2 linked regions of the Saccharomyces cerevisiae S288C genome follow. The main gene of each other region encodes a partner of the protein of the gene in region 2 in a complex. Each region holds a gene or a part of one and is shown on either strand. Other genes may lie near its edges.

Region 1 (3,720 bases), on a different chromosome or scaffold from region 2:
TTAGCGCCGGTGCGGGTGGTAAAGGAATGGAAAGAATTTTCACGGTTGATCTGGATGGCTGTATCAAAGTTGTTGAAGCATGCGAAAAGGCTGGTATCAAAAGGTTCGTTGTTGTTTCAGCGCTCAAGGCGGAGGATAGAGATTTTTGGTATAACATTAAGGGTTTGCGTGAATACTATATTGCAAAGAGATCTGCTGATCGTGAGGTTAGAAACTCTAATTTGGATTACACTATTTTACAGCCTGGATCGTTGGAACTAAATAAAGGTACCGGTCTTTTGCAACCCCTTGACAAATTAGAAGAGAAGGCTTCTGTTAACTACTCCATTAACAGGGAGGATGTAGCTTCTTTTATTGTGGAAAGCTTGCTACATCCAAATGCAACAGTGAAAAAAACCATTTCGTTGGTAAATGGCAACGAGCCAATGGAAAAATTCATTCAAAGTTTGTAGATCAACCTATTTACGCGTGAAATGCATATGTAGATGAATAGTCAAGAAAAGAAAAAGAAAGTGAGAATATATGAATTTTTTTACCTTGATTTGAAGATAAAAATTTGTTATATTGTTACATTGAGTATACTAAATATATTCGTTGCATTTTTCGAAATTTTGTTGTTCGGTGATAGCCCTTAAAACGTCTTCATCAACAACGTCTTCATAGATCTCTTTCGGGATTTCCGACAGTCCCGTTTTCGGTTTATTCAAATCGTTATCGTGTATAACGGTCTCATACACAATGCTTGTGTCGCTGGGACTATCGTTTTTTGATCTCCTCCATCCTAAAACAGTGGTTGACTGTGTGGATTCTGGTATGTGTAATATATTTGTGTATGCATCTCTCAAGCCTTGTTGATCTACAAGAAGAACCTTCACTCTATCATAAAACAAATCGCTATTAAATCTACTACACGCAGCAGAATGCTGATAGAGCCAATTTGTAGAGCTCAGCTTACTACCTGATGCAATAATATTAGAATTACTCATGTGACCATGTGGCCTGTGTTCAAAGAATTCCACCTGGTTTTTTGCAGGGTTTATGCCATTCTCGGAAGCAGGATACATCATGGTTTCTAAGGCCCTTGCGGATTTATCAATAGGATCACCAGCAAGTTTTCCTTCAATTACATTTCCCTTTGTTCTTAATTCAGAAGCATAATAATCATCGGTTATATGTTTGCCGCCACGAATGATTTTAGCACCAAATTCTTTAAACACGCCTCTAGCGGTGACTAGAGCGATTTGTCTATTTCTATATGAATAAGGTAAAACGCCACGGTCTATCAAGTCGTTCTTTTGAGTTTGATTCAGAATGAACTTATAAAGGTTGGGGTGAGTTTGAAAAAATAAATATGAATCTCTAAAACCCACTATCCTAGCCGGTTCGGTGGCCAGCATAAACTTTCGATTCCCCTTCTCAGTTAATGTGAAGGTGCGCACTAAAAATTCTCTGCCTCCTAATAGATCACCATCTGCAGTTATCTTCGTCTCACCTTCAGGATCATCTGGTAGAACATATTCTTCATTGACCACTTTCAAAGGATTTAAGTTCTCCTCAGCATCATCGATTCCGGGAAATACTGGTTTTTTGAACTTTGAACGGTTTCTAGATCTAGTAACGCCTTTATCCTCTGACAAATCCTCTTCTTCGTCCACGTGCCTCCTTTTGTTTCTTCCGCTTTTATTTATCTGTTCCTCCTCATCACTTATTTCTTCTTCATTCACTCCCTCATTGGCTTCTTCTTCTCTGTAATCATCATCTTCATTCTCATCATTTTCATCAATATCTAAATCCTCAGTATCAATTGCATAATTGGGTCTGTTGCTAGTAGATCTTGACCGCTTCTCATGTTCAACTTCGGAAGCTAGACCTCCCTCTGAATCTGACATTTCTGCTAGATGGTATTTCCTTCTTCAAAAGTAAATGTACTGTATTCAGTAATGCTTAAACTTTATAAAGCTGTTTTCTTGCAATATTTTTGTCTGCTCACAGTAACATGTTTAATAGTTCGAACGGGTTTTTTTTTAAAAGAGCGAAGTAATCAAAGCATTCGGGTAATAATTACAAGTTTATATGGACTGTGGTAAAAACAGTGTAAAACTTTTTTATATCTATTTTTCTAAGGTTACGTAATTGTTTACTTTATATTCTTATCTCACTCGAGGACAACATTCCACCTTTTAATGCAAGCGTCCGCACCAGAACTAACCAAGGTAGATGGTGTTTCCCATAAAAGGTTGTTAACACCGTCCTTGTGAGCATTCAACGCCTTAATGATTTTCATAGGTCTTTTGACGGAGTAAATAAAAATATTGGTGTCTAAAGAACCAGTGGCAACTAAGTCCTCTTCAATTTCCTCTTCGTTTGCTCCCTTTTCAGCAGGTTTCCATGAAATGGCGTTGATTTTACTGGTGTGGAAAGCCCATCTTGAAGTTTTCACTTCTCTTGATTGTAAATCATATAGCAATATCTTGCCCATAACATCTCCAGCAGCGATGTATGTTTCAGATGGCGAAATTGATATGTACGAGGGTTTTGCGCGAAGAGGTGTTTTTAAATCAAAACTGACTTCCAAATCTGATAATTTGAATACCTGAATAGTATTACCTTCTTCCAAACCAACTGCAACGTAATTTTGGCTCAAGCTAACGGCAGAGCCTGGTGAGTTCAGTCTTACACTCTTGATTATATCGCCCGTAAAAGACTGTAATATCAACAAATCATCATCATTTGTTAGTACTGCAGTGAAGCCATCATTGTTCGCACTAGCAACCTTTGGTTGCGATCCAAATTCATGCTTAGTAATACCGTTCACTTTCAAAGTATCATCCCAAGAAATACTGGAGTATTCTTGCGCTTTACTATTATCCAATGATACAATCAAGTTGGAGTGATCTTGGTGCATGGAAGAGCTAGACCATTCCATAATCCTACCATCATATGACCCACTGATTAGTGGGTTGACTGTCAAAGCAGTAATACCCTTGTTATGACCACTAATGGTTTTTAAAACCTCGTCATGTCCAAGTTCATAGAAGTTTAAGGTCCCATCCAGTGAAAGAGAAATAATCCTTCCGTTTCCTGTTGCAACAACACCAACTTGTTGATTTCCCAGTTGTTGCTTGTCTAAGGTCCATTTTTGAACGCATTTTGAAGTCGTGACGTCCCAAACCCTAATGGTAGCGTCTGCTCCTACGGTAGCAAACTTTTGGGAATCAAGCCACGATAGTGCAAATATACCACCTTGAACTGGTTCTTGATCATCCTCTATGTATTTAAGAAACTCACCTGATTTGCCATCAAAGCAAGAAATCTTTCTGTCAGACCCTACCGTAATAACAAATTCACCGCTGTCAGGTGAAAATTCAACATCCCTGACAAATGAGCCTTGTTTGTGGTGTGTTCTGTCACTGGCAGAGAACTTAAATGGAGGTCCTTGATAAAAGACAACAGATCCATCATCTCCAACTGTCATAGATCTCATAGGTCTAGATTGCTTCAAATGACAAGCATTGATGCGTTGTGAGTGACCTGAAACTTCACCTAAGGAATTACCAGAATCCCAGGATATGAAAACACCAAAGTTATCACGACCTTCTCCCACAACGCAGAGTCTTCGCCCTTCAAAATCCCAGGAGATATCGCTGATTGGACCTGCTAAAACTTGGAATTCAGACTTAACATTCACTTCAACAGAATTGCTTTCTTTGTCAAATGTCC
Region 2 (3,760 bases):
AAGTAATATAGGAAAAATTGAGGCGTCTGAACCTTTCAAAACCTTCAAGAATACGTAAATTATACACATGTAATATAAGCATATTTAAAAATTCTCCGTAATATATGTCATATATGTCAAATTGCGAATTAGTCCAAATAGAAACAAGATCTATCAGTGTTGGTGATAAACATTTTGTATTCTTTTGGTAACGTGTATCTCAAAGAAGTGCATGACTTTTTTTACGTTCTCTTTAGTCTTGATTTAGTTGCTTCTGCGTTTGTTAAATTTTTTGTCCTTCCCGTTTGATTAATAATACTTATAATAATACAATTCTGTAACAAGAAAAGCAAAGTTACTACATTCTCATTGTGGTTTCTAAGTCATCTAATCTTCTCCTGCCCCTTCTAGATAATCTATCAGTTTCTCTTTTCAATCTTCTTAAGTTTCTTTCTTTTTCAATTTCTCTCTTTTGTATTTCTTCTTTTGTTAATATTTCCACCCTTGGGCACCAATTGGAGCCCAGTTCATCAATATCCAGCCTTATACCAGATAAGTACCCAAATGCGGCATCGTTTGGGACATGGTCCTGAATCAAGTGGCCATCTACCCAGTCCTTCTTTATCTTCAAGATAGTTTCATGAAGCGATTGAGATATTAAGGGGATGAACTCTCTTGTTAAGCCAAGGTCCTGTACAATGGATGTAGCAAATCTTTCTGGAGTAAGTGATTTGTCGTTCAAGTTCCACTGGAAGTTATCTTCAAAAAATCTGTCTTGTAAGTTGCAGGTTAGGTTGATTATCACGTGGAGGTCAGACATTATCTCAGTGGCTGCAATATTTTCGAGGTCTTTCAACTGCTCTTTTATTATATTCGCAATTTGAGTTTGTAAGGTAGCGGAAGTCATATCAAGATCTTTACAGTATATAGAGGCAAATTCCTCCGGAGATATGGAGTCGTCATTGTAGTTCCAGAGAAACTGGTCTTTTATGGTATGACCCATATGTTCTATATCCAAAGTAATTGGTATCATGATTGCCTCTCCAGAATTGGCGTTTGCCTTCGTTTCTTGATCAGTGTTGAGTCTATATGGAGACACCACTTTTCCGTTAATGAAAGTATCTCTTATTTTAGGGTATCTCAATATGTTGAAGGGGTTGTGGTGTTGGTCTTGCAGATCCGGTAGAACGGCGTTTCCAATATCCTGTGCCTGCGCTTTGTTGCTCGGACCATTGCTGGCGTTGTTATTGCTATTCAAACCGGATAAAGATTCCACAACCATGTTTGAACCCGCATCGTATTTGTTGTTAGAGATAATACTATCAGCTCCATTCATGTTCTCTAGGACATTGTATTCGGAACCGTCCATGGTAACACCATTTGTAAGTGCCGGAGTATTTTCATGAGACACTGCATTATCTTTATAGTGTGTATCAGCATTGTTGAAATTAGAACCGTTCATATTGAATTCATCAAAGAGATCGTTGTCATATTCCGCATAGTTGACCACTTTAGCCCTTTTATGCTGCCTTGTTTGTTGAGCCATTGTAAAGATGGGGATACCATCATCTTCGTTTGTCAATCTGTTATGAAAGTTAGAAATATAAGCTTGTGGAATAAGCTGGTTTTGGTGCGACATTGTGTGCTGCTATGTGCCTTTCTTCTTTCTTTTTTCAATGTACTTCATTCAATAATCTCTATTTGTCGTATTTTCTAAGTTTTTTTTTTTTGTCAAAGTAGTCGCGGCGACTTTAAATGAGCAGATCATCATTTAGTAGACAAAAAGACACGGGACATCTTCTATCTATATAGTTTACATACTTTATTATGTGAAAGAGTCTTTCGAAATTGCAACAATGCTCGATAAATCTATGGGTCATGTGCTCTATAATTCCTGTACATTAGCATCGGGTGCGTGTAATTTTTGGGGTGATATGGCATTCTCCATCAACTTTTCCTTTTATTTAGCATCTTCTGTAAGTCAGATGCTACTTTTGCACTGCCGTGGGTCTCCTTGTGGCATATAAAGCATTTGGTGCCCTTTTTCATATCTTTGGCAAAACACGATCCACAAAAATAATGGCCACAGTTTGTGACCACTGGAGACTTGTAATCTTCCTTACAAAGAGTGCACTTGAACGGTATCTTTTCCAAGTCTAGAGTAACCGCTTTGGAGTCCTCTTTATCCGCATTCCATTCTTGGTTCAGCTTCCAGCCAGTCTTGAAATCATCCCTCGAGTGTAAGAACTTGCAGCTATCTCCGTAACCACAGTATCCCGTCTGTTTGTAATCTTTGCAAACGTCGGGCTGAAAATCCATCAGCACCGTGGTCCGGATATTCGTTGGTTGGTTAATCTGTTTAGTGAGGCGTTTATTTTTACCGCTCATGTTCAGTACCAGCTCATTGTCATCACTAGGTCGCCTCTTCTTTGCCTTCTCAGCCAGCTCTTTTCTCTCAAAGTTTAGAAGATCTTCTTTAGTGCTGTCGTCGTTGACCGTTAAAGTGTATTTATCTAAATCCTCACCCTTTTTCTGTAGTTTACCTTCATTCTCATGTGAAAGTTGAAGTGTCCTGCTATTTCCACTCTTGGCTAAGCTCATGAGGTCACTGGAACCCTTTTCTTCATCGCTGGCCACTAGTTTCTCTTCGCTAAAATTAATTTTCTGCCTCTTTTTCTGGTTCTTTTCATCAGAAGAGCTTTTGTTCACTAATCTCTTTCTGAACATGAATACCTGGAGCTTTGATTAAGTGATGGAGCTTTCGATGGCTTTAGCTTGAGTCCACTTCAGATAGAGATGCGCATGGCTTTTTCTTATTATTCTCCGGTTGCACGGAAAGAAGCGGGAAGAGGACTAAAGGGTTTTTGGATCAGCTTCACAAAATATATACTTGGATACGTTCGCTACTGAGGTAAAGTGGGCATGCAAGGTTGCAATTTAGGATTCGAGCTGTCTAGTTGATCCTCCGGAGTGTAAAAACTGATTTTCAATGAGTGGTAACACAACTAACGTGCATGAGACTAGAGCCAAGTTTGCAGAGACGCTGCAACCGAGGATTGGTGGCAATACTACAAAAGTGATACGAGCTGCTTTGGAAAAGAACGAAGCTGAAAGCGGGGTGTCTGAGGATAATGATAACGGGTCATTGGAGAAAGTTAACGTAGCTACTTCGCCGCTTTTGACATCAACACCGCCCACAATCTCAAAGGCGTTGGTGAAATTGTACCCTTATTTAATTCTCATTGACGAATTCCTAAACGTTGTTACATGGACAGGAAAGAATATTTGGAGCAGTGTTTTGATGCTGTGTCTCTTTATTACTACCGTTGAGTATTTTGAAACGCTGGTGAAGTACTTTGGACATCTTGCCATCATTGCTATTTTGTGGGGTTATTCCCTATTGGACAATTATATTGAGGGTACGTTGAGCTCCTCACCAACATTAGAAGATATTGCTCTCTTAATGAACAGAGTATCCTTGAAGTCAGATATTTTGCTCTCCCCCATGGTTAACCTTGGAACGCAAGATATTCAACGGCTTCTATATACTACGGTCATATTATCTCCAATATACGTGATGATAACCTGGCTACTTTTACCACCGAGAAGCTTGATGCTGATGGTGGGCATGTTCCTTTTAACGTATCACTCACCATGGTCTAAAGTAGCAAGAAGGCTTTTATGGAAGTTTAAGATTGTCAGGCTGCTTGTTTTCTACGTCACGGGTTTAGACCTTGGTGGAATAAATAAGGACCAGGGTATTTTTGCTACAGTGCAGAAG

Evidence for each region. Proteins that work in one complex are often made in the same cells at the same time.
Region 1: SFH1 (region 2) and NPL6 share a complex: the UniProt entries of both Saccharomyces cerevisiae proteins name them as parts of the two forms of the RSC complex.

The regions. Positions count from the first base shown.
Region 1 is NC_001145.3:449,477-453,196, forward strand, and holds NPL6 (Npl6p), read right to left. Parts: upstream 1,890-3,720; coding exon 582-1,889; downstream 1-581. Other genes in the region: YMR090W (uncharacterized protein), read left to right, coding at 1-452; AIP1 (Aip1p), read right to left, coding at 2,156-3,720. UniProt on the Saccharomyces cerevisiae protein: Component of the chromatin structure remodeling complex (RSC), which is involved in transcription regulation and nucleosome positioning. RSC is responsible for the transfer of a histone octamer from a nucleosome core particle to naked DNA.
Region 2 is NC_001144.5:776,247-780,006, forward strand, and holds SFH1 (Sfh1p), read right to left. Parts: upstream 1,619-3,760; coding exon 338-1,618; downstream 1-337. Other genes in the region: MMS22 (Mms22p), read left to right, coding at 1-58; U2-type spliceosomal complex subunit CWC24, read right to left, coding at 1,927-2,706; PEX30 (peroxisome biogenesis protein), read left to right, coding at 2,969-3,760. UniProt on the Saccharomyces cerevisiae protein: Component of the chromatin structure-remodeling complex (RSC), which is involved in transcription regulation and nucleosome positioning. RSC is responsible for the transfer of a histone octamer from a nucleosome core particle to naked DNA.